7 linked regions of the Oryctolagus cuniculus genome follow. The protein of the gene in region 4 interacts with the protein of the main gene of each other region in a biochemical or structural test. Links are inferred from orthologs where the notes say so. Each region holds a gene or a part of one and is shown on either strand. Other genes may lie near its edges. The genes, in order: HIF1A, AHSA1, USP19, HSP90AA1, SUGT1, FKBP5 and PPP5C.

Evidence for each region.
Region 1: the proteins of HSP90AA1 (region 4) and HIF1A form a complex in vitro, tested with the Homo sapiens proteins (4 studies listed by BioGRID and IntAct, with this or other methods). The link is inferred for Oryctolagus cuniculus from reciprocal best matches to the Homo sapiens genes HSP90AA1 and HIF1A.
Region 2: the proteins of HSP90AA1 (region 4) and AHSA1 form a complex in vitro, tested with the Homo sapiens proteins (4 studies listed by BioGRID). The link is inferred for Oryctolagus cuniculus from reciprocal best matches to the Homo sapiens genes HSP90AA1 and AHSA1.
Region 3: the proteins of HSP90AA1 (region 4) and USP19 form a complex in vitro, tested with the Homo sapiens proteins (3 studies listed by BioGRID). The link is inferred for Oryctolagus cuniculus from reciprocal best matches to the Homo sapiens genes HSP90AA1 and USP19.
Region 5: the proteins of HSP90AA1 (region 4) and SUGT1 form a complex in vitro, tested with the Homo sapiens proteins (4 studies listed by BioGRID, with this or other methods). The link is inferred for Oryctolagus cuniculus from reciprocal best matches to the Homo sapiens genes HSP90AA1 and SUGT1.
Region 6: the proteins of HSP90AA1 (region 4) and FKBP5 form a complex in vitro, tested with the Homo sapiens proteins (5 studies listed by BioGRID and IntAct, with this or other methods). The link is inferred for Oryctolagus cuniculus from reciprocal best matches to the Homo sapiens genes HSP90AA1 and FKBP5.
Region 7: the proteins of HSP90AA1 (region 4) and PPP5C form a complex in vitro, tested with the Homo sapiens proteins (4 studies listed by BioGRID, with this or other methods). The link is inferred for Oryctolagus cuniculus from reciprocal best matches to the Homo sapiens genes HSP90AA1 and PPP5C.

What each region holds. Positions count from the first base shown.
Region 1 is NC_091451.1:8,781,650-8,785,149, forward strand, and holds part of HIF1A (hypoxia-inducible factor 1-alpha), read right to left. Parts: intron 2,593-3,500; exon of another isoform or gene 1,788-2,592; coding exon 1,567-1,787; exon of another isoform or gene 1,266-1,566; intron 957-1,265; coding exon 670-956; intron 1-669.
Region 2 is NC_091451.1:23,218,905-23,222,091, reverse strand, and holds the end of AHSA1 (activator of 90 kDa heat shock protein ATPase homolog 1), read right to left. Parts: coding exon 3,171-3,187; intron 2,294-3,170; coding exon 2,165-2,293; intron 1,419-2,164; coding exon 1,317-1,418; intron 1,044-1,316; coding exon 992-1,043; intron 881-991; coding exon 708-880; 3' UTR 501-707; downstream 1-500. UniProt on the Homo sapiens protein: Acts as a co-chaperone of HSP90AA1. Activates the ATPase activity of HSP90AA1 leading to increase in its chaperone activity.
Region 3 is NC_091441.1:100,054,800-100,058,299, reverse strand, and holds part of USP19 (ubiquitin carboxyl-terminal hydrolase 19), read right to left. Parts: intron 3,078-3,500; coding exon 2,937-3,077; intron 2,835-2,936; coding exon 2,716-2,834; intron 2,480-2,715; coding exon 2,342-2,479; intron 2,244-2,341; coding exon 1,930-2,243; intron 1,818-1,929; coding exon 1,707-1,817; intron 1,620-1,706; coding exon 1,403-1,619; intron 1,316-1,402; coding exon 1,163-1,315; intron 1,065-1,162; coding exon 904-1,064; intron 824-903; coding exon 645-823; intron 1-644. UniProt on the Homo sapiens protein: Deubiquitinating enzyme that regulates the degradation of various proteins by removing ubiquitin moieties, thereby preventing their proteasomal degradation. Stabilizes RNF123, which promotes CDKN1B degradation and contributes to cell proliferation.
Region 4 is NC_091451.1:45,356,478-45,360,584, forward strand, and holds the start of HSP90AA1 (heat shock protein HSP 90-alpha), read right to left. Parts: upstream 2,801-4,107; 5' UTR 2,556-2,800; intron 2,092-2,555; coding exon 1,930-2,091; intron 1,840-1,929; coding exon 1,473-1,839; intron 1,282-1,472; coding exon 833-1,281; intron 745-832; coding exon 579-744; intron 448-578; coding exon 257-447; intron 161-256; coding exon 13-160; intron 1-12. UniProt on the Homo sapiens protein: Molecular chaperone that promotes the maturation, structural maintenance and proper regulation of specific target proteins involved for instance in cell cycle control and signal transduction.
Region 5 is NC_091440.1:60,137,903-60,141,984, forward strand, and holds the end of SUGT1 (protein SGT1 homolog), read right to left. Parts: intron 624-4,082; coding exon 522-623; 3' UTR 501-521; downstream 1-500. UniProt on the Homo sapiens protein: May play a role in ubiquitination and subsequent proteasomal degradation of target proteins.
Region 6 is NC_091436.1:133,898,234-133,900,726, reverse strand, and holds part of FKBP5 (peptidyl-prolyl cis-trans isomerase FKBP5), read right to left. Parts: intron 1,348-2,493; coding exon 1,108-1,347; intron 172-1,107; coding exon 64-171; 3' UTR 1-63. UniProt on the Homo sapiens protein: Immunophilin protein with PPIase and co-chaperone activities. Component of unligated steroid receptors heterocomplexes through interaction with heat-shock protein 90 (HSP90).
Region 7 is NC_091449.1:10,796,571-10,800,070, forward strand, and holds part of PPP5C (serine/threonine-protein phosphatase 5), read right to left. Parts: intron 3,362-3,500; coding exon 3,296-3,361; intron 3,097-3,295; coding exon 2,998-3,096; intron 2,140-2,997; coding exon 2,034-2,139; intron 1,238-2,033; coding exon 1,095-1,237; intron 974-1,094; coding exon 886-973; intron 413-885; coding exon 372-412; intron 307-371; coding exon 128-306; intron 1-127. UniProt on the Homo sapiens protein: Serine/threonine-protein phosphatase that dephosphorylates a myriad of proteins involved in different signaling pathways including the kinases CSNK1E, ASK1/MAP3K5, PRKDC and RAF1, the nuclear receptors NR3C1, PPARG, ESR1 and ESR2, SMAD proteins and TAU/MAPT.

The sequences.
Region 1 (3,500 bases), about 37 Mb from region 4:
AGGATGCTGGCTTCGGATCGGCGCAGCATGCCGGCTGCAACGCACCGGCTGTAGTGGCCGCTTGGGGGTGAACAAAGGGAAAAAGGAAGACCTTTCTCTCTGTCTCTCTCTCACTAACTCTGCCTGTCAAAAAAAGAAAAAAAAAGACAATTTTTATTGTGCTTGTAGGACTGTTAATATCAACACAGAGCTACAATAAAAAACACCAATTATTAAGTTCTGTGTAAGACTTTGTATTTTCATGTTACACTTATTCAGTTTTTTGAAACAGGGCTATATTGGGAAGAGAGTTAGAAGGTCTTTTCCCACTTAAACCTTGAAAATAAGTTTTTTGCCTTTAGGTATATGCTGGTGTTATCTTGAGCACATGGATAAATTGTTTCTATGTTTATATCTATAAGACAAAAAAGTCTCAAATTTAGAATCCAGAGAGAATAAACCCAAGTTTTACCTTCTGAGTAATATCAAACCAACTCCTTCCCATGTTCCTATCTTTGTGCTGAAAACACATGCGATGGTGTGTGTGTTGTGTGTGTGTGTGTCTCTCTCTCTCTCCAGCACACACACACAGTGACATGTGGTCCAAATTAAAATCTGAACCAGATATACAAATACATACCTGAATGCTACAATCTGAAAGTTGCCCTGCTGTTATATTACGATACCTACCTCAGGTGAACTCTGTCTGGTGCTTCCATCAGAAGGACTTGCTGGCTGATCTTGAATCTGGGGCATGGTAAAAGAAAGTTCCAGTGATTCTGGATTTGGTTCCAATTTTAATGCAACTTCTTGATTGAGTGCAGGGTCAGCACTACTTCGAAGTGGCTTTGGAGATTCAGAGGCAGGTAATGGAGACATTGCCAAATTTATATCCTGCAATTTTTCATTGGATGAAGGGAACATGACATCATTATATAATGGAACTTCCTCAAGTTGTTGGTCATCAGTTTCTGAGTCTGTGGGGAAAAGAATTAGTCAATCTAAAGCATTAAGAATTTTAACATACATAGCAATGTACTCCTTTTTACAAAAGGTTTATCTAATCCACTCAAATTTTCTTTAATCAAGAAGTTTACAGATGCTATGTTATAAATCTTGAGATATTTTTACAGTCCACTATTACAACTCATTTTAATCTACATGGCAATAAAAGACTTGTAATTCCAACCTTTATTTACACTAAAATTTAACCTAGCTTGAAATGATAGTATATTGTAAAATATAGTAAAATTATGGTATAACTATTTGTTCATCCTTTAATGCAGCTACACCTATTGTGGAGACAATCTGAAAGCAGGATACAGAAACAGCAGAGTAGCTGGGGAAAACTGAAGTGGGATGAAGGCATTTTGAAGCACAAAACTCAACAATCCCTAAGAAAAAGCAAGAATGCTAAAAAAATTATAAGGACAAAATTATTTAAATACTTTCAAAATGACTATGAAAAACAAGATTTATAATCATGTCCAAATGATTACCAACAGAAAGCATCAGAGCCAAGTTCACTTGAAATGGGCCTTGCCACAACATATATACTTCAGGAGATTAACTAACTAAAATACCCACCATTGCTGCCAAAATCTAAAGATATGATTGTGTCTCCAGCAGCTGGGGCCAGCAGAGTTAAAGCATCAGGCTCCTTCTTCAGTTTGTCAAAGAGACTACTTGTATCTGCTGATTCCACTTTGGTGAACAGCTGAGTCATTTTCATATCTGAAGATTCAACTGGTTTGAGGACACATTCTGTTTGTTGAAGGGAGAAAATCAAGTCGTGCTGAATAATACCACTGTCAAGAGAGAGAGATTAGTAATTCTTAAATGAGTACTTGACACAACGAGGGGAGGGGGACTGTGAAATGATGTTGTCATTTTAAGATTCCCTGAGATGCATGACCCCTCATGCATCTGGAATTTTAAAATGCCAATATGAAATGAAGATGCAACTATTCATAGTGAGATAATTCAACTACGTGATTAAATTCAGCCAAAAAAACCTCTGGCTGTCCTTTGAGAAGAGCGCTGGTGACAGGGAAATTGGCAGTTAAGCACAAGACAGACACAAAGAGATCAGAATTTCTCTGCCGATCCATATGATGAAATCAGCACAAAAGAAGTCTTTGTCACTAACAGGAGGCATGAGCTAAGGACGGTCCCAGAATATCCAGAAACGATGAAGATCTTTCTAAGTTGTGTGCTGTATTTTCTTTAGTGGAAGGAAAACGATACCAGTGACGTACAGGACAGGGTTTAAGAAGGAAGGTGAGCAACAGCTCCATCTTTGTGTTTAACGTAATTAACACAGTAAATGTTCACTATGTGAAATGAATGGAGAATTAAAATACCCAAGTTAAATACCTAAACCTTGCCCTCAAGAAGTTGATAACCCACTGTGAAAGTAGATAAGCAAATAATAAAAAGACACTGTGTTCACTGGTCAAATGGTGAAGGCTTGTCCAGAAAAGCTAACAAGCAGAAACCTGAGCTCAAGCAGCCATTGTTAGGCACGCCAAGGTTGGAGGAGGAGAAAGCTGTTCCAAAGTGGGCGATTCTTAACAATGCACTGTCACACTCTTTGGCACTCATATTAAAATACTGAAGGATGGTCTCCAAAGTAGCAAAAATAAATGACTAAAATCTTAGTAACAGAGGTGACCACAGATTTTAGTGGGAGGGATAAATCTAGGAAAGTATGATAATAACAAATGATGTAGGCAAGGATTTAATGTTGAGGATAATAAAGGGACTTCAAATGTTGTAAAGAAAACGAGCAACTGATGGGGCTGGCACTGTGGGGTAGTAGGCTAAACCTCTGTCTGCAGAGCTGGAATCCTTTATGGGTTTCAGTTTGAGTCCTGGCTCCCACACTTCTGATCTAACTCCCTGCTAATGTGCCTGGGAGGGCAGTAGAAGACGGCCCAAGTACCTAGGCTCCTACACCTATGTGGAAGACCTATAGGAGGCTCCTGGCTTCATATTGGCCCAGCTCTGGTCATTGTGGCCATCTGGGGAGTGAACCAGCAGATGGAGGACCTCTCTCTCTCTGCTCTCCCTCTCTCTGCTTCTCCTTTGTGTAACTCTGACTTGCAAATAAATAAATGTTTAAAAAACAGCAGAATGGCTATATTACTCTATAATCTGCCTCTCAAATAAATAAACCTTTAAAAAAATAAGCATTAAAAAAATTACACTAGGAAGCTTAGCCTGGTAGCAATATGGAAGGTGGACTAGAATATGGTAGTAATGGAGAAGACAGACAGTGCAGGAGCCTACTGAAATAGGTAAGTGAAAGATTAATTTAAGATGTTCATTATATTCACAAACCAATGAGCTAAGAGTTCATGAAGAAACAAAAGCCATGTGTTATATCATATAACCTTTTATAGTAATCTCACACAGAATTTCATTTAGGATTCTTTTGAGGAAAGTTTTACCATCTCATGTACAAATATGAAATCAGAGAAACAAAGACAGCAGGGCTATTCCAAGGCCAGTATTCTTAC
Region 2 (3,187 bases), about 22 Mb from region 4:
CGTGGTAACTGTTCAGTACACAGCAGCACAGGGTAGGACTCTCTAGGTTTCCAACACATCTGGCCAGCACCTGCTGACTCTCTACTACAGAGAATCCTTGGAGAGTGGGCAGCTCAGAAAGCCACCTCCACCCGACAGTGGAGTGCCAGCACTGCTTGCTGCTAGCACCAACCGTCCCCTGCAGTCAGTGTCATCAGGCAGAACCCTTGTACCAGGCAGTCTGAGAAGGCTAGCTCAGGAACGCCTGGCCATGAGCAGCAGGCTCCCTTCAGGCCTCTAACCATCAAGGCTCACCCAGGGTGCAGAGGAGCCCTTCCAACCTCCAACTTTCTGCAAGTTAGAACCTACTAGGAAACTTGACTACAGAAGAACAGTCAGATGGAGATGGATATGGCAAGCTGCTGCTGGTGGGGGTGTGGAGCCCCCGCCCTCTGGCACACCACTCCCAGCACCTCCAGTATTCAGCAGAACAGCCAATCAGCCCAGGTTGCAGACATGTGTGTTTTTAAAATTATGTTTATTTAGCGTATGTACACAAAAAAGAAATCACCCTCTGACCCCACCCAGCAGAAAACATGCACAAACCCAAGGTGTATGTATGTGGAGGGGAAGGGCCCCAGCCCCAAGTTAGCGTTTGGGATGGTGCAATCCTGCAAGTCACAAGCCCATCAGGACAGGGCTGGACTGAAGTGTAGGGCAGGCCGGAGCTAGAACAAGCGTGCGCCATAGCCAAAGGTCTGTTTGATGCCCTCGAAGTAGTACCGCTGCCAGCCCTGCCGCGTCCGCTCTTCCTCGGGAGCAGGGATGCCACGGCCTTCCATGCATAACTCTGTCTCTCCGTTCTTGTCAACAAAAGTCAAGGTGATGGTGGCAAAGTGCCCTGGGAAAAGGCAGAGGGGAGGGAGGTTTCAAATCCAGGGTTTCCACCTGGGCTTACGACTAAGAGGAGAAGCAAAGGTTCTGGGGTATGGCAGTAAAGAAGTGTGCTTACCCTCTGGCCAAGATTTAAACCTCCACTTCATCACGATATGTTTCTCAGGGACCTAAAATGATCAGAGAGCTCAGCCTATAGCGTAGACTACAATGTACCCAGTCCTAGTTAGGATTAGCCATCTGCCTCTCACACTGACTCTATCCTGTGCAATTGTATTACTTGCAGAGAATTCAAATCACAGCATTCTTTTGAAAACCTAAACAAAACATAGTTTTATTAACCAGAGATTAAAGCCTTAAATTTTACCTACAGAGCTGAGAAAATTCACTCATCTGACCAAAGGCAGCTCCAAAACCTGGGGCTGGGGCCAGCAGGTACTCACCAGATCGGTGAATTCCCCAGAGACGTTGCCGTCTACCATGTGAAACTTCCCACCTTTGTCTGCGTCTAACACTGCAGGAGCGTGGGTGAAGGCCTGGACCAGCTGCAGGAAAGCAGGCGGGGAGAAGATGCACGGCTCTCAGCGGGACCCAGGGACAAGCGCCGCGTGCCTCCCCGCACGTCTCGTCTCCCCCCATCCTCTTCCACTACACTCCAGGCTTGGACTCCAGGGATCCTTTCTGAACCCACGATGCCATTACTTCCGACCCACTCACTTTCCTTTTTTTTTTTTAATTTTTTTTTTTTATTTTTTGACAGGCAGAGTGGACAGTGAGAGAGAGAGAGACAGAGAGAAAGGTCTTCCTTTGCCGATGGTTCACCCTCCAATGGCCGCCGCACTGCGCTGATCTGATGGCAGGAGCCAGGTGCTTCTCCTGGTCTCCCATGGGGTGCAGGGCCCAAGCACTTGGGGCATCCTCCACTGCACTCCCTGGCCACAGCAGAGAGCTGGCCTGGAAGAGGGGCAACCGGGACAGAATCCGGCGCCCCGACCGGGACTAGAACCCGGTGTGCCGGCGCCGCAAGGTGGAGGATTAGCCTAGTGAGCCACGGCGCCGGCTCCCACTCACTTTCCTAACAACAATTCAGTGAGTCCCACTTATTGACCCAACACTAGCACTGAAGAGAAAACCGGAGGAGCAGATCTAGTCTAAGAGGGTTAACAAAGCTGTTTTTCCTTTGCCTCTGCTTGTATCAGGAAGGCCTCCGGGCTCCAGACATCAGTACCTCTGCACGCCGAGGACCTGGCACACAGGCGGCCCGGGGCCTGAGGGACAAGCGCACGCTTACCTCTTGGGTGGTAAACACTCTATAGAGCTCCTCTGGTGATGTCAGGAAGGTTTCTCTAAGGGTGATCTTACAAGTGGGGATTTTGACACCAACAGGTTTGGCCTGGGTTTTTGCAGGAGCAGACTTAGCCTGTGAAAGTGGCAGTGAAAATGGTCAGTGGAGGGCAACGGTGACCTTCAGTCACCATGGCCCTGGGGGCAGCTCTACCATTCACTTCCACAAAGCCATTCACCTCTAGGGATAAGAGGGTTGGAGGGAATCTGTGTGTGTTTCAGTTATGAAGAGAACTTTTCCAGAAACATCCTCAATTCTCACAGAAAACAACCACTCTAGGAGGAAGACTCTGGTGCTCATTAAAAAACCCATCAGCCGAAGGTCAAGTCCAATCACCAGGCATTCTGGAGCACTCAGTGTGATTCTCAAACAGAATCTCTATGGCTCTGTAGCTGGAAGCAGTTTTCTCCCTACATCCTGGACATCCTTTAGAGCTGGCAGAAGGGCAACTGGGCTCCAAACCAAGCGCTGAGCCCGAACCACTGACTCCATCTCGCTGAAACACTGGCTCACCTGCAAATGCAGTGCCGCCAACCAGCTCTTGGTGAGTGATGTCAGTGATCTAACCCTTGGTATCCTGATGCCAAACGTCAGCACTCCAGTGAGGAGAGCTGCGTCTATGGTGAACACCATTCTGCGCTCACAACCTCTTAACTGGTGCTGAATGCAATCAAGAGTCACCGTGTGAAGTCCCTGAGAGCTTCCATTTGCTCTGGAGGTTGCAATATAGGAATAAAAGCCACATTTTGCTATAAATGAATAAAAGCCATATTAAAGATGGACATATGCCTACATATTGTAGACTCTATAAAGTGCCAGTGGCAGACCATAGGCTGTTCTGGCTTGGAGATCAGGGTCACAGAAAGAGCTGAGAAGTGGAATTAAAGAGGAGGCAGCTTTGCACTGCCTTTCGCGGACAGCCCGCCAGCCCATCACGTGCAAGCCAACTTACCTTGCGCTCCTCGGGTT
Region 3 (3,500 bases), on a different chromosome or scaffold from region 4:
CTGGCTTCCTTCACCCAGGTCCAGACACTTACCACTGTCTTCTGCCACGATTTCTCTGAGCCTGACAAGGCTCAAAGGAAGCAGAAGGGGCAGAAAGGAGGTGGCCAAAAAGAGACATGTGGCTATGTCCACCAACCAGGCCTTTGGTACACTATGTCAGAAAGAGTGGTAGAAGACCCTAAAGACTAGCAGGAATAGATGCTCACCTCAGCGAGTGTGACAGCCACTCAGGGCTGTGGCCAACCCAGCCAGGCTGTCCTGAGTATGGCCCGGAACACGGGGCTGATCGCAAGTGGGGGTCTGTGGACTGGCCTGCGGGCCACATGTGAAGGGAAGCTAGGAGACTGTCAGGTATAGCTGTTCACAGCATAGTGCCTGGTGAGGCTCTCAACAGTTGTCTGTTTGACCTTTGCCCTGTGGGCATCTATGTACACACCAGCGGCAACAGGATGGTTTACGTGTCCCTTTGTGAGCGTCCCCAGGGCACGAGGGTGCCTCTGAGTGATGTAAAGGAACCTGTCTGTAACTCATGAATCCCGACACTTACAGGGCCTGTGGCTGCAGCACACCGCTGTGTCCCCCAGCCCTGCCCTCTGAGCTGTGAGTTGGCCCCTACCGGTCTATGAAGCATCCCCATGTCTCACCTGGCTGGCAGCAGCCTCAGCTGCAGGGCCTAGGTCTGGGTGGTGCTCAGAATGCCCTGCCCTGGGGGGCCTCTCCACAGGAGAGTTCCGTCGGCGGTAGAAGAGTACGTAAGCATAACGCGTCACCACCTGGCTCTCATCTACTGTCGTCACCGTGCTGTCATCAAATAAGCGCCAGCCTGTAGCAGGGTGGGAAGAGTGTGAACACAGCCTGTACCACCAGCCCACCACCTATCCTGCTGGCTGTGTGTGCCCTCACCCACGTCACTGCGCTGGCTGCTACGATCGTTGGGCAGGCGTGCGCAGGCAGTGTAGTGGCCACCGATCATGCCTCCGTAGTGGTTGATGACAGCATACAGGTCATAGTTGGGCAGCTGCTCCTCTTTCTGACCAATGCAGAACTTGCTCAGGTCCAGGTTCCTATGGTCCCAGTCAGGGAGGGGTGAGACAATTAGGTGACCGGGATGCCCACCCTGGCCCCAGTGCCCTGCCCTCAGGCACCAGGGTGCGCTGCTCACCGAACAGGGAACTCCACCAAGTCGTTGATCTTGTCACGCCAGATGAAACTGCGAAAGGAGAAGCGCTTGAGCTGCACGATGAGAACGTTGGGCAGGCGCCACAGCAGCAGCTGCTTGGAGGCCTCGCGGTGCTGTTTACACTGTGGGCAGTACCTGGTGGGAGACAGAGGTGGGGTCAAGACCGGCAAGGCTCCCCTCCACCCTGCCCCACCACCCACCTGCCCGCTTCCCTGCTCTCACCAGGCCTCCTCGGGGGCTAGCACCTCAGGCCTCGTAAAGAGGTTGAGGCACTGGTCCAGGGTGAAGTGGCCAGCCCGGGCAGCCTCGCCAGCAGAGCCTGGATCCTCTGCACATTCCAGCTCCTTGGAGGCTACCAAGACAAACTCCGGCAGGCGCTCATTGTTCCTCCAAACCAGAGCCAGGCTGCAGTCATCGCCCAGCTCCAGCGGGGTGTCTCCTGGAGATGGGCAGACAGAGAGGTCATGCAAGTGTGGAGGGCAGCCAGCCAAACCCAGCCCACGGCTCCCACCCACAGCCTCGACACCTTTGTCCTCCAGCCGCTGCTCTCGGTTGGAAGCATCGATTTTGTAGATGAAAAACTGGGGTGTGTGGGCATTCATGGCTTCACTTGGGTGCTGGTACCCAGGCACAGCAGCTGGGAGAAAACACGATCATCAGAGCTCCTTTGCCTTCCAGAGGTTAAACAAGCTGCACCCAACCTCTCCTATCTCCAGTCCCAGTTCCCAGAGCCTTTCTCCAGATCTTACCTTCAGGCCGGGACACCCTTTCACCAGCAGGCAAAGGGCCACCCTCAATGGGCCCACTAGCCAGAACCTCAGGAGAAACTCCACTGGTGCTAGGCACAGGGCCCCGATCCGGGGCTGCCCATGCCCGGGGAACCCCTGTGTCCCCCTCAGCCACAGGGTTCACCAACTGGAGCTCAGGCGGCTGAATGGGATCCCTCTCGTTGTCCCCAGCCTCTAGGGAGCTAGTGGAGAGCAGCGTAGTGCACCCAGGACCCTGGGACTCCAAGGCCATGCGGCCAGGCTGGAAGGGAGGCTGGAACACACTCACAGAGTACCTGGCAACAGAGAGCAAGGCAAGTAAGAATGCTGACCAGCCCAACTGGCACCACTGCCCTCTCTCTCTCCCACCCTAGTCTAACCAATGGGCACTTACCGGGCATAGCCCTCCAACAGCTGAGCAAGACGGGCGTAAGTGAGCCGTGAGGCAGGTACACTGACCAGGAAAGGATAGCCTATGTTCTCAGGGCGACAGAGGCCTTTGTGGTCAGGCCAGTGGTTTTTCTGGCAAAGCCTGGAGGGAAGGGGAGGGGGAAGGTAAGCACAGGGCTTCGGCCCCACCTGCTACAACTCTGTATTAAAAACTAGTCTTAGGCCCTGGGAACTGGGTCCACCAGCCTTGCCTCCCCTAGGGGCCTGATGGACAGAATGGCAGGTAGAAGTCTTAAAACCTGTGCCTCTGTGTAGAGGGGAAGGGCAGGGTGGCAAGGAAGGGTGGACGGAAGGAGGGGAGAGAATGGGGGTCCTCACTGGTTGCAGTAGCCCACACGGTAGCACCGGGTACAGCGCTTCAGCTTCTCCTCCTCTGACTGCTGCTTCCGCTGGCAGGCAGCACACTTGGAGATGGGGATGCTGGGCACCTGGGGGCGCTAGGGTGGGTCGACTGGCTCAGCAAGGCCAGGGAGGAGTGCCCTCCCTCCAGCCTGCCCCCCGCCACCGGGCCCTGTACCATCTGGTTGGCCTTCACTTACCTGTTGTACCTCTAGCACCACTACCCTTTCCTTAGCCAACTCTGGAGACAGCAGCTCAAAGCAGAGGAGCACATCGGATGGGGACACAGTGTCCAGTGAGTGGGAAGGCAGGAACACACGATGGAAGCGATTCTTAATCACCTGGGGACAGAGAACACACAGATCCCATGTGCAGTAAGACCTCTCCCCAGTCCTGCCCCAGAGCTTGGCTCCTACCTTGGGTCTATGGAGGCCCACCTCTGCTGGTACCAGTCTCAGTGCCCAATGGTACACGGAGCCTGGTACATCAGAGCCTGAAGACCAGCCCAAGGCAGGTGGCAACCATTCTAGCTCTCTTACTGAAGGCCTCCATGCTGCTTCAAGGAGCAAGGCCCAGCTAAGACTACAACATATTAGCACAGAGGAGCCACATTCAAGGAGTCTCCTCCATGGGGCCAGTGCTGTGGCATAGAACCACATTCAAGGAGTATCCTCCATGGGGCTGGGGCTGTGACGCAGCAGATCAAACTGCTACCTGCAGTGCTGGCATCCCATATGGGCGCTGGTTCGAGTCCCAGTTGCTCT
Region 4 (4,107 bases):
CGCGCGGGCTACCTGTGATGTAGTAGATGTGCTTCTGGTTCTCCTTCATCCTGGTGCAGTAGTCCTTGAGGGACACCATCTCGTCGCCGGAGGCCGACGTGTAGTACCTCAGCAGCTCGGAAAGCTTCTTGCGGTTCTGGGAGTCCTCGTGGATCCCCAGCTGAAACAGAGCCCGCCTGTGAGAACGGCTTCGGTTCACCACTCCCCGCGGGGCAGTGTGGACCCAGCTGGCAGCCGTCGGTGTGTCTGCACCCACCTTTATATTTTTGGAGAACTGCTCATAAAACTTCTTGTAATTCTCTTTGTCTTCTGCCAGTTCCGTGAAGAGCTCCAGACACTTTTTGACCAAGTTCTTCCTGATAACTTTCAGGATCTTGCTCTGCTGCAGCATCTCCCGGGAGATGTTCAGCGGGAGGTCCTCCGAGTCCACCACCCCTCTGATGAAATCTGAGGTAGCGGAGACCGCGCCCTCAGTCTAAGCACACACACACACACACCCCGCCCCCCCCCCCCCCAGCAGACGGACGAGACATGGTGGCATCACCAGCGACACTGGGCTCACTCCCGCTCCTACTCACTCAGGTACTCAGGGATCAGCTCCTCACAGTTGTCCATGATGAAGACTCTGCGAACGTACAACTTGATGTTGTTCTTCTTCTTCCGGTTTTCAAACAGGTCAAACGGGGCTCGTCTCGGGACGAAGAGCAGCGCTCTGAACTCCAGCTGCCCCTCAACCGAGAAGTGCTGCAACGACACACAGGCCCGGTGCCAACCACCACCACCGCGACGGCGCCGGGGCCGGGCTGCCACCCTCCGGGCGCGGGGCGCTCACCTTCACGGCCAGGTGGTCCTCCCAGTCGTTGGTCAGGCTCTTGTAGAACTCCCCGTACTCCTCGTTGGTGATGTCGTCGGGGTTCCTGGTCCAGATGGGCTTCGTCTTGTTGAGCTCCTCCTGGTCGATGTACTTCTCCTTGATCTTCTTCTTCTTCTTCTTGTCGCCGTCCTTCTTCTCCTCCTCCTCCTCGTCCGAGCCCACGTCCTCGATCTCCGGCTTGTCGTCGGGCTGCTTGTCCTCCTCCTCCTTGTCCTTGTCCTCCTTCTCCTCGGCCTCGTCGTCACTCACCTCCTTGTCGCGCTCCTTCTCCACGAACAGCGTGATGGGGTAGCCGATGAACTGCGAGTGCTTCTTCACGATCTCCTTGATGCGCCGCTCCTCCAGGTACTCCGTCTGGTCCTCCTTCAGGTGCAGCACCACCTTCGTGCCGCGCCCCATGGGCTCACCTGCGGGGAAGCCAGCGCGCCGGGTCGCACGGGGCGGCGGAACCCCGCGAGGCCAGCACGGCCCGGGCCAACGAGGCGGCGGAACCCCGCGAGGCCAGGCCGGCCCGGGCGAACGCGGCGGCGGAACCCCGCGAGGCCGGCCCCGCCAGCCCCGGCCCCCTCGCCAGCACGCCCAGCGCCCCTCCCCCTACCTGCGTCGGTCCGCACAGTGAACGAGCCCCCCGCCGAGGACTCCCAGGCGTACTGCTCGTCGTCGTTGTGCTTGGTGATCACCGTCACCTTCTCAGCCACCAGGTACGCCGAGTAGAAGCCGACCCCGAACTGGCCAATCATGGAGATGTCGGCGCCAGCCTGCAGCGCCTCCATGAAGGCCTTGGTGCCGGACTTGGCGATGGTGCCCAGGTTGTTGATCAGGTCGGCCTTGGTCATGCCGATGCCCGTGTCCACGATGGTCAGGGTTCGGTCTTGCTTGTTGGGAATCAGGTTGATGTGCAGCTCCTTGCCCGAGTCCAGCTTGCTGGGGTCGGTTAGGCTTTCATAGCGGATCTTGTCCAGAGCCTGGAAGACCCCAAGTCCTCAGCACCCAGCCGGCGCCCTCCCACCCCCGCCCCCCGAGGCCAGGGCCCCTTCCTCCCCGCCGCCACTTACATCCGACGAGTTTGAGATCAGCTCCCGCAGGAAGATCTCTTTGTTCGAGTAGAAAGTGTTGATGATGAGGGACATCAACTGGGCGATTTCCGCCTGGAAGGCGAACGTCTCCACCTCCTCCTCCTCCATCGGCTGGTCTTGGGTCTGGGTCTCCTCGGGCATCTGCCAAGGGCACGAGGCCCATCAGGCGCCGCACGGCCCCCGCCGCCCGCCCCGAGGCCGGCGCGGGCGCCTCACAAAGGGATGACCTCATTTCGAGCTGCGGCAGGCGCGGGAGCGTGCGCGCTGCGGGGCGGACGCCGCGGCCGGGCCCCGCTCGCCCCGCGCCGCCGCCGGCCGCCCTCCGCGGGCCGCGGCCCCGCCATGGCGGCCGGCACGGCACGGCCGGGGGCTGGGCGCCACCCCCCGCAGCCCCGCACCGGCGCCCCCGCCCCGCCCCCGCCCCGCGGCCTCTCCAGAACATTCGCGGCGCCCCCGGCCCGCCGGAGGCGGCTCCACAGGCCCCGGCCGCGGAGGCCGAACCGCGGCCGCTCGGGCACCGCGGCCGAGGGGGCCCCCGGCCGCCCCCGCTCCCCGCCGCCGCCCCCGCACACCCCCGGGCCTGAGACCCCCCGCAGCCCCCTCACCTTGGCTGAAGAACCGCACGGCCTCCGCGACGCAGCAGCACCGGGACGCTGGAGCAACTGGCGCGCCGCCCCCGCGCCGCCCTTATATAGAGGCGGGCCCGCCCAGCGCGCGGCGCCTTTTCGAGAAGCCTCCCGAACCTTCCGGAAGAACCCTCCCCAACCGCCACCGCGGCCACGCGCCTGCGCCTGCGCCCTGGCTGTGGCCCGCCCCTGCCCCGGGCTCGCGCACGACCCCGCGCAGGGAACGGCGGGCGCCCCCCGCCCGCCCGCGCCGCCGCGCGCCCTCGCGCCGGCCCCTGTGCGCCTGCGCGGGCTCGGCGCCTTCCGGGCTCCTAAGCCCGCCAAGCGCGGGCGCGAGCGCGGGCGCGTGCGCATGCGTCCTCGCGGCGCCGGGCGAGCCGGGGCGGGGGAGGGGGCGTCGAGCCCTGAGGTCCCTGCCCTTGTAGTGTGAAATGTGCAAAAAATGGCCCGTGGGTTATGACAGCTCGGGGCCGCTCCCAACGAGTCGCCCGCGCAAGGTGCAGCGGCCTGGGGTGCAGGCCTTGCCAGCTTTCGGTCGCCGGGCCGGGTCGTCCGCTGTGTCTGGGGACTGGGTTTTGGAGTCGTGCTGCGGGCCTGCGGCGGCGGTTACGGGTCGAGGGCTGCGTTCCGGCGCCTGGGCTTCCGCAGAGGTGCGGCCCGAGGCCGGGCGTGAGGAGGGCGAGGGCCGCGGAAGCCCCCCGGGCCGGCTCCCCGATGCCACGGCCTCCCCGTGCCCAGGTGCTGAACCACGCTCGCCCGGCCGCCGCCGCCGCCGGGGTTCCGGGAAACCCGTAGCCTTTCGCTTCCGGAGAAGCAGCGGCGTGCAGCGCCGGAGCCCCGGGGGCCGCCCCAGGCCAGGTCTAAGTGGGACTGGGGCGCTCGGAGCCCGGGGCGGGGGCGGCGGCGGCCGGGCCCTCCCCACGTGGGAGACCGCGTGGAGTCCCTGGCTCACGCTGCAGCCTGGCCATCTGGGGAGTGAACTTCCGGGTGGAAGACCTCTCTCACCCTACCTTTCAAATAAATGTTAAAAAAGAAAAAAAATAAGAGCCACATCCAGGCTGTAGGGTCCTCACTGTCAGCGTCGGGGTCTGCCCTGGAAGGACGCCGCGGCTCAGCGCGCCGGCCCTCGGAGCCTTTGTGTCCAGCTCTCCCTTTGTTGGCCCACTTCCTCCCTCGACGGGCCTGGCCCTCTGGAACAGCTGGACGCTCCCAACCTAAAGGCACCTGACCGCTCCGCTCCCTCGTGGTCTCTAGGAAAACCCGCTCTTCCAGGAGAAGGTTGGAGAGCGCTTGGGAGCGTGAGCGCAGCCCACAGCGTGCAGAGCGTCGCAAAGGTGGGAACAGACCCCTTCAGCCGCGGGCGGGTCCCGGCCCTCATGTGCGTTTCCTACAAGTGAATGGGGAGGAATGTGACTGGCCCAGGTTTGCCCAGCCTGCGGGGGAGGAGAGGAGTGGAGGGGGAGGCGCGGAGAGCAGGGGCAGGTCCCCAGCTGCCCTCCCTGGAGCCTGGTGGGTTAAACCGCCGCTTGGG
Region 5 (4,082 bases), on a different chromosome or scaffold from region 4:
AATAAACGAGAATTCCTTGTGATAAATAATTTCTCAAGGTTCTCATTAAAAACTGAAAGACAAAGGTAAGTAAACCAAACTTCTTCATAGAAAAATTATATTTACAACTTCATTTAAAAGCAAACACAATATAACACTGAAGTTGAAAATTTTATGCTCATCCAAAGTTGCCTGGTCTAATAAATTACAGAATACTGCATCAAAAATAAGGCAATAACCCGAGATATGCCATTGAAGATTTCTCCACTCCCACAACTAAATAGAACTATCTATCTAGTAGCAAATGATACTTCATTCAGTTCAGCATATCTAAAATCCTTAAGGACATAAGTGATAAAAATTTGATCTTTCTTCATTAGACTCTTAGAACACTTGAAGGGAAATAAATTCTAATGCACAAAGAGGTAAAGAGGTATAATCTTTCAAAAAAATACTCAGTGTTCAAAATTTAAGAATGCAGTATCAACACACAATGGGCATTAGGTGAATGTATGCAATACAGTGGTGTCAAGTTAATTTATTTAGTACTTTTTCCATTCCATATCATCAGGAGGATTGATTTCAACTTTTCTTTTACCTACATCAGACCAGTTGGTACTCAAAACCGTACCACCGGACTCCATCTGTAATAAAAGGGAAAAAAAAAAAGATATTAACTCCAGGACCATAATATCAAAAATGATCAAGAGCATTTTCCTAAAAATGTTCTAAGTATACAGACTCAAATACAGGTTCATTATAAATATATCAACAGCTCAATATAAACTCTAATAGATCACACACACACTATACATAGCTCAATAGAAACTAAAAACATTATTTTCATTTAATCTCGTCCAGAGAGAATTTAAGTTTCACAAAATTTGAAAAGGAAACTATTAGTAGTCAAGTAGGAGCATCAAGTTCACATACACTGTCATATAAGGCTCCATCTCTCCCTCTGTTGATTAGCACAGAGGTATATGTGGAAAAACTTTCAAATTAAAATAAAACTGCCCCCCACCCTGCAAATAATGATACAATTCTTTTTGCTGTAAGAGAGTAATCACCAGATAAATAAACTCTATGCTAGCTGGTTGGAGCTTCAAAGGGACTCAACTTCATGTTTCCTCTGTGCAAAACTCATTCAAGTTTACTTGAAAATGTTTTCAAAGTCAAAAGTTAGACACACGCATGTACACAGTATCTCAATGAAGAACTGATTATTTACCATTTATTGAATGTACCACAACCTAGCACAATTACAAATATTATAGGGTACCACATAATAACATTTAGGTCAATTAATCAAATTTTTGTTTCAATAACGAGAGAGGCTTATTTAGTTCACAGTTTCTGGAGACTGAAAGTCCAAAGAGCAAGATACCAACTCTATTGAGAGCTATGTGGCATCATGAGGTGAATGTGTAAAGGAAGGCGACAAGGCTAGATAGGAAGGAGGAGGGACAGACTTGCTCTTTTATAAAATCCTCTCCTGAGAACTAATGAGGGTCTCACAAGAACTACCATCAATTCCTTCTGGGGTAACTGCTCCCAATGACTTAATAATAACTTCCTATTAGGCCCTTACCTCTTAAAGGTCCTATCATCGCACCTGGAATCAAGAATGAACCCTTGGCAGGGACAAAACATATCTAAACCGTATCAACAGTGGTTTCATACAACAACAACGAAGCTGCAAAATTCCCATAACAGTAATGCCACAGCTGTTGGCATTGCCACTTCATAGCACATGGAATTATTCATGTTTATGATGCTGGTGTAAACTAACCTGCGGTGTTACTGATCATAAGAAGTATAGGATATACAATTATATATAGCACATAATACCTCATAATAAATGACTGTTATTATCTGTTTATTATAACCAGTTGTGTTCATGACAAATGTATGAAGTTATATACCCTGTTACACTGGAAATTCAATGAACCCCTATGTCCTATGTGCTCTGTGATACTCCCCTACTCATTTTCCTCTGCATGAGATCTCCTCTCCAGCCCATTTCTTTTCTGTATTTTTAGTTATCCTCTCAACATGAAATGTCACCATCTCTCCGCAGTCTTCTTTGACCCTAATCAAGACTAATCTTCTACTCTTCTGTATGAACCTAATTACTATTAACATAACACCTATTACTATGCAGTTGTAATTTAAGGGTTTGCCTTCTTATATCTGCCTCCCACCCTTGCCTGCAAATAAATCTGAGAGCTCCTCAGAGTAAGGGAATATATTTTACTAATATAGTCACTTCTTGGCATCTGTAGAGAACCAGTTCCAAGACCACTGCCACCCCTCTAACCCTGTGGATACTCAAGTTCCAAAATCTGCAGATGTTCAAGTTCCTTATATAAAATGGAGTATTAGCAAATATCTCACACACAGACTCCCAAATACTTTAAATTATCTCTAGATTAGTTATAATACCAAATGCAATGTCAATGTTATATAAATAGATGTTGTATATTGTTTGGGAAATAATGAAAGGAAAAAATTTTTAGTACAGACTGAGTTTCATTTTTTCTCTTTTTCCTAGTTTCAATCTCTGGTTGGCTGAATCCATAGAAGTGGAACTTGTAGATTAAGAGGGCTGAATATACTCATATTCTAGTTCAAAGCACAGAGGCCTGGCACATGGTAGGCTTCAAATGAATGACTGAATTAAACATGGTAAGCTTGCGTGATGCACTGAACCTAACAGAACTTTTCAGTTACAAAACTGAAAGAAGTAGATGCAATTTATAACCTGAACATACTCACTAATGACTAATTCTCCTTTTTCTCCTGACAGACTCCAGATCAATTTAGCATTTCTCTCAAGTTATATTGTTCTAAATTGTCTTGTCCCAATTACAGAGGACAGAGTCTACTGTATTTTTTCTGTTTTCCCACAAGAACAGAAGTCGTCCCTGGAATGCTCCAGGTCAGTGTTGTCACACAGAGGAGATGTTTGTTAGTGGTATACCTGGCTCACTTGCTCTCTGTATACAGTGGATACATACTCTGCAATGCTCCAGGTCAGTGTTGTCACACAGATGAGATGGTGTGTTAGGGGTATACCTGGCTCACTTGCTCTCTATATACAGTGGACATATACTCTGCAATGCTCTTTTGTCTGACACACTGGTATTTTTGTACAGCACACTACAGTCCACCCAGTCAGTAGTGAGAATGACTTTCCTTTCTGAGAAGACCAAATAGATATTTTTTTTTCCTATTCTTTCCACTAGCAAACTAAAAACCCAGAAAACAAAGGAAGTTGATAAATTTGCCAGAGATCGTGGGACACAAAAAGTGACATGGAGTTAAACCCCTGGATTTTCCTTTGCCCTCATATATTCTAGCCTTGGAGTTGAAGAAGCTGGAAACACCAAGGTGAGTAAACCAGTAAACAAAAAAGCCTCAATAAAGGCCTGCTCTTTGTGGCCAAAAGAACGAAAAGGAGAGTCTAGGAAGACAGAAAACTTGTAGACAATGAATTACTACAGCTAAGCACCTCACTAAGCCCCACCCAACCAGCAAGGGCTGAGCAGGGAGCTTAGACTGTCCCAGTTTCAGTGCCAATGGAAGCAAAGTTGGATGCCTGAACTTTTATGTCCTCCAGGCAGTAATGACATAGTGCCTTGCGTTCCCCAACCAACACATTATCAGACAAGGCCAACTAAAATGGGTAAGGTTTAAATAAGATCCAGATTTCTTGAACAGAATATGAAAATATCCAGGATTCAACTGAAAAATTACTTGTCACTACTGGAAAACGGCAAGAATCAGAAAGATCTCAAACTGGAAGGTGGAGGGCACAAAGAATAATCAATAGATGCCAATATCAAGATGACAGAGATCTTGGGGCAGGCGCTGTGGTGCAGCAGGTTAAAGACCTGGCCCGGGGCACCAGCATCCCATGTGTGTGCTGGTTCGAGTCCTGGTTGCTCCTCTTCGATCCAGCTCTCTGCTGTGGCCTGGGAAAGCAGTACAAGATGGCCCAAGTCCTTGGGCCCCTGCGCTTGTGTTGGGGACCTAGAAGAGGCTCTTGGCTCCTGGCTTCTAATTGGCTCAGCTCTGGCTGTTGCAGGCATCTGGGGAGT
Region 6 (2,493 bases), on a different chromosome or scaffold from region 4:
TGGGTGAAAGCCCACGAGGAGGGGCCGAGTTCGGGGGGACTCTGGTCCCTCCGTGGCGTGGCGTCATACGTGGCCTGCAGGCTTCTCTTCTTCCATCGCTTGGCTTTCGGTGCGTTTTTCGCCGGGGACCCCTTGCGACGTCTTCTTGCCCATTGCTTTACTGGCCTCTTCCTGAGGAAGAAGTCAGAGGTCAAGAGGGTTAGAGCCAAAGGAAGGGAGATGGGCTCTCACCAGGCCCAAGGCCAGAGTGCACAGCGCTGACCTGACAGGGCCGCCCCGTAGGGAGGTCAGGGCTGTGCTCCCCACGGCTACCCGGGGGCGGGGGGCGTGCTCTTCTTGGGCTAGCCCGCAGCCCACCCTGGACGGGCTCGGTTCAATATCCGCCTGGAGCTCCCGACTCCAGCTTCCTGCGAATGCAGAACCTGGGAGGCAGCGGTGATGAGTCAAGGGATTGGGTCCCTGCTGCCCAGCTGGGAGACCCTGAACTGAGTTCCCAGCCCTGGCCCTTGTGGACAGCTGGGGAGTGAACTAGCAGATGGACGGGCGTGTGCACTAAGATGACAGAAATGTAAAAAGTAAGCTTATTGACGTGACTAGCCTGCCAACTGGGACCACTGCTGGGCACTTAAGTCCATGAGCCAGTGGGGGTTCCAGAGTGGAGGACGCACTCAGGGGAAGGGGCCCGAGGCCCCTGCAGACACCCGTCTCCTGTCACGCTCGCCCACCAGGGAAGAGGCATGGCAAGGCTCCTGTAACCCTTCCCCAAGTCTCAACAAGGAAGCAGTATCATTTGAGGGAAAAAAAAAAACCTGATGGGTTAATGACTTTGTAAACAGCATATGCTTTAGTGCATCTCCAGGGAAGGTGTGTCCTCTGCGTGCTGTGTGGACGGGGCAGGGCCTCCCAACCGATGTGGCGCCACCTCAGCCTCCGGCTGCAAACCAGTTTTGGGTCACCACGATGGAAGTGATCTTCCCTACTCCTGGGCCTCTCGCGCCGCTGTCTACCTGTCTCTGTCTCCTACCCTTAACCTTCCAGGGGCACCAATCGAGGGGGCGAGGCCTGTCCTGCATGTGCCCTGAGGCAGGCAGCGGGGCCTGCACGCACCTTGGCATCCTGCTCGGCAAACTTGGTGAACATGTTGGCGTAGATCCTGCGGTCCCGCTCGTTGTGCTCCTTGGCCTTGCGCTGGCAGGTGGAGATCTGCAGTCGTGCGGCCTTGTTCTGGGGGTTGACTTCCAGCACTTTCTCAAAGTCCCCCTTGGCTGACTCAAACTCATTCATGAGTAGCTGGGCCTCACCCCTCCTGTACAGGCCTTTCTCATTGGCACTGTCCAGTCCCAGGGCCTAGGAACAAAAACAAAACAAAACAAAACAAAACAAACAAACAAACAAAACAAACAAAGCTGAAGGTAATCCTTCTCATTTGTAGGAATTTCAACAAGGAATTCTGTAGTTAAACAGCGTACTGAAGCTCTCTGGCCGAGGGAATTGGGAAAAGCAATTGGAAAAATGGGCTCAAGGGACCGGCGTTTTGGTGCAGTGGGTTAAAGCCCCAGCCTGCAGTGTCAGCATCCCACATGGGCACTGGTTTGAGTCTCAGCTGCTGGACTGCCTGCTTGGGAAAGCAATGGAGGATGGCCCAAGTCTTTGGGCCCCTGCACCCACATGGGAGACTTGGAAGAAGCTCCTGGCTTCGAATCAGCTCAGCTCTGGCTATTGTGGCCATTTGGGGAATGAGCCAGTGAATGGAAGATCTGTCTCTACCTCTCTCTGTAACTTTGTTTTCCAGTAAACAAAATAAATATCTATATTAAAAAAAGAAAAAATGGGCGCAAGATAACTGTATACTACTGATCAAAAAATACTACTGTAGTTACTTTCTGCATTGAATGCAATTTTTAGAAAATTCCCAAGCATATTTGGGGAAAAAAAGAAAACGAAAATAATATGAGAGGCCAGCGCTATGGCGTAGCAGGTAAAGCTGCCGCCTGCAGTGCCGGCCTCTCATGCCACAGGTGCCAGTTTGAGTCCTGGCTGCTCCTCTTCCGATCCAGCTCCCTGCTATGGGCTGAGATAGCAGTGGAAGATGCCCAGGTCCTTGGGCCCCTGCACCCGCGTAGGAGACCTGGAAGAAGCTCCTGGCTTCAGATCGGTGCAGCTCCGGCTGTGGCAGCCATTTGGGGAGTGAACCAGAGGATGGAAGAACTCTCTCTCTCTCTCTCTGCCTCTCTGTAACTCTTTCAAATAAATAAATAAATAAATAAATCTTCAAACAAACAAAACACGAGGGAGTTCTCCTCCCAGAGGAAAGAAACAGAGTGGAAGGACTGAAACTGAAACCGCGGGATGCGGATGTGAACAGAAACCCTGAGGTGGGGACTGCGGATGGTGTGAACCCCGGGGAGAGGCTGAGCTCTGTGCAGAGCGGGGCCAGGCAGTGGCTGCCAGGGCAGGAAGTCATAGTTAAAATTCTGACCGCACATCATAAAC
Region 7 (3,500 bases), on a different chromosome or scaffold from region 4:
GGCGGAGACCACAGCCCAGACGGGGAAGGGCAAGGGAGGGCACGCGGCATCCCCTCTGCTGCTCGGCCTTAAGTAACTGGAACCCAGACAAAACCTGTGGCCGGCAGGGCGGCCGGCGGGAACGCACCAGTAGTTGGGGGCGGAGAAGACGGTGACGCAGCGGCCACCGTGCGCCACCTCGTAGCCCTCGGCCTTGACCTCGTGGCTGCGGATGATGTAGTCCAGGTGGTTCTCCTCCAGGAAGGCCTTGGTGACGTCAGGCCCGAACTGGCAGCTCACGCCTCGCTTGCTGACCGAGCGCCCGTTCTGCGGGAGACGGGGCTCAGAGACTGCCGCCCCACCCCCGCCGCCCCCGAGGGCCCGAGACTCACCTGTGGCTGTGGGTCCGACCAGAGCAGGTCGCACATGGGACCTGGGGGGTGGAGGGAGGCGTCAGGGGCTTCCTGGCCGGCCGTGCCCAGCCCCCAGCGCGGCCCGAGGCGGGTGGACGGGGCCCTCCTCTGCCGGGCCTGCCCTCCCAGCCCCAGCCTCCCTGCCGACCTCCCCGCACCCCATTCACCTACTTTTCCCTGCAGGATCTGGTCCAGTCGAGCTCACGCCAGCCACACCGTGGGCTCCTCCCACCCCCAAGCTGCCCGGGCTCGCCCGACTGTGCGCGGGCGGCAGCTGCTGCTCTCGGGGAGTCGGCTCCAATGCTGCACCCCCAGCCCTGTGTGACACTCGCACAGGTGCACGGAGCTGCAGCCTCCCTCCAAGGGCCAGCAGATGGGCTCCCAGGGCTCCCCACAGCCTCGCCCTGCCCGTGGACGCTCCAGCCCCCCGGCCAGCAGGGGCCCCGAGGCTCACCTGCTGCGCCCTGCTGGGGCGCCGGCCCCACCTCCTCACCTGAGTCTGGGGGCTGCCGATTCCGCTCGATCTTCCGGATGTCGTCCAGAGTGACGCCGTCCTCACTGAACAGGCCCCCGTGCATGATCTGGGGGGGCAGGGGGTGGCCAGGTGAGGAGAGGGCCGGCCCCGCCCGTCTGCCCGTGTGCCCGGGGAGGGGGGGAGGGCCGGCCCCGCCCCTGCCCGGGTGCCCATCCCCGCGTCCTCACCAGCACTTTGCCGTTGATGCACTGGGCCAGCGGCAGCCACTCAAACACCTCGCTGAACAGCTCGTACATCTGGGCCGTGTACTTGGCCTTCACCTCGCCCTCGAAGCCGTAGATCTGGTTCATGTTGTCCGTCTCGTGGTTGCCTGGCCGTCGGCGGGAGAGGGAGAGCCCTCAGCCCGCAGGTCCCCCGTCTCCCCCCGCCCGGCACCCGCAGGTGCAGGCCTGGGCATCAGGCTGGACTGCCCATGTGGCAGGCAGCCCGAGCCAGTCAGTCCCAGCGCCCGCAGCGGCCCGTCGCAGCAGCCAGAGGGGTGGACCCTGCGCTCAGACCATTCCTGAAGGCAGCAACTGGACTGGGAGATCTCACCCAGGCCCCAGGCCCTGCCCTACTGACAGCTCCACCCTCGGGGCAGTGGCCGAGGCACGAAACCACCCCCGTCCTGGGCAGTGGCCGAGTCCTCCCACTGTGTACCCTCCAGGCTGGCAGTCCCAAGGGGCCGGGGGTGAGGGAGGGTCTTGACCAGAGGAGCCCACTCCCTCCCTCCTCCTGCTCTGCTGCTTCTCTGCGCCCCTCCCCACTGGCCCGACCTCTCACAGGGCAGCCCCTGCCCCAGGCTGTCATTCACGTGAGAACCAGACCTGCCCTGCTCTTCCCGGTGTCCAGCAGCCTCCTGGAGGTGGGAACCACTGAGAGCCAGCCCCAGACTCCGCCCTGATCAGCCCCCATCAAAGCCCAGAGCTCCACCCGTCCCCTCCTCCAGCGGCCCTGCCCGGACCTGCGCCCTCACACGGACCCAGGTGGAACACAGACATGACAGAAACTGCCCCAGGACCCTTGTACGTGCAGCTGCCATGGCTTTCTTTGCTTTACAGATCAGGCCAGGGAGAGTGAGTGCCCCCCAGCCCCCAGGGACCTGAGCCTGCTGCCCTGTGGCTCACCTCGAAGTAGGTGAAAGTGGTCTGGGTACAGGAGCTTGAAGCCGAAAAGGGTGAGGATCACTTCTACGGAGAAGGAGCCGCGGTCCACGAAGTCGCCATTGAATATCCACCCCGCTAAGGAAACAGCCGTGGGCTGGGGCAGACGGGTGGGGGGCTGTCCTCTCCCCTCGCCTGGCCCCCAAGCTCCCGTGAGCTCTCCCCCAGGAGCAGGGACTCAGTGGGGCTCAGGAGGCCGTGCCAGGCCCTTCCCTGCCCGGTGTGCAGTCTGCTGCAGCTGCCTCAGGACAGGCCCAGGGCCCCCACCAGCAGCTCACAAACCTGGTGGCCAACAAAGCGACCGCTCGTCAGCCCGGAATCCTCTCTGCAAACCCTTCAGGGCGCCAAGGCGGCCCTGGCACTCACCAGAGGAAACCAGGGTGGTTTCCAGGAGGCAACATAACCAGCCACGGTCCCACCACTGGGGAGCGGCAAAGCCAGGATGGAATGTGGCGTGGGCACTGCCAGGTGCTGGCCACTGGCTTGGGTCACACAGCACAGCGGGCCCAGAGACACCGGGCCGGCCATTGGCTCGGGTCACACAGCACATCGGGCCCAGAGACACCGAGCCGGCCACTGGCTCGGGTCACACGGCACCTCAGCTCAGAGACACCGGGCCAGCCACTGGCTCGGGTCACACAGCACATCGGGCCCAGAGACACCGGGCCGGCCATTGGCTCGGGTCACACGGCACCTCAGCTCAGAGACACCAGGCCGGCCACCGGCTCGGCTCACACAGCACAGCTGACCGAGCCAGGAGCCTGGAGTGCCAGGCCAGCCTGCCACTGCCCCCCACCTGGGCACTGCTCACGGCTCAGGCCGCTCCCTCCCTGGCGGAGCCTGCTCTCCAGGGGCTCCCCTCCCCGAGACGACCTGGGCTGGGGGTCAGGGCTGGGGGTGGGCGAGGCGGCTCTGCACACAAGGATACGTAGGGGTTGGTCTCTGAGGGTAAACCGTTGAGCTCAAATATGTTGAGGAGGTCGTAGAACTGGCCATGGGTGTCCCCACATACCGTAATCTTCTCTGTCTGGAAGAAAAGAGGCCACCGGAGAGGGAGGGGCCCAGAGAGAGACGTGGGGAGGGGGCAGAGGTGAGGGGAGGGGCAAAGGTCAGGGCAGACCAAGAAGCCGCATGCGAGACAGTCGGGGGAGACAGTCAGGGGACGAGAATGCAGAGACGAGACCGGGTCGGGTGGGGGTGTCCGAGAGGCCCCGCCCCCAGCGCACCTCTCTCAGCGTGGTCTCCACGAGCGTGCTCAGCTTGGAGAGGACTTCCTTGACCTGCACCAGAATCTGGAAGGGGGGCGGGCAGTGAGCCTCCTGGATCCTGGCAGAAGCACCAGGGGCCGGTGCTCAGCCTGCTGGACGGGGCATCTGCGTTCCAGCCCGCAGGCCTGGTCTGACCCCGACTCCGCTTCCTGCTGGTGCGCAC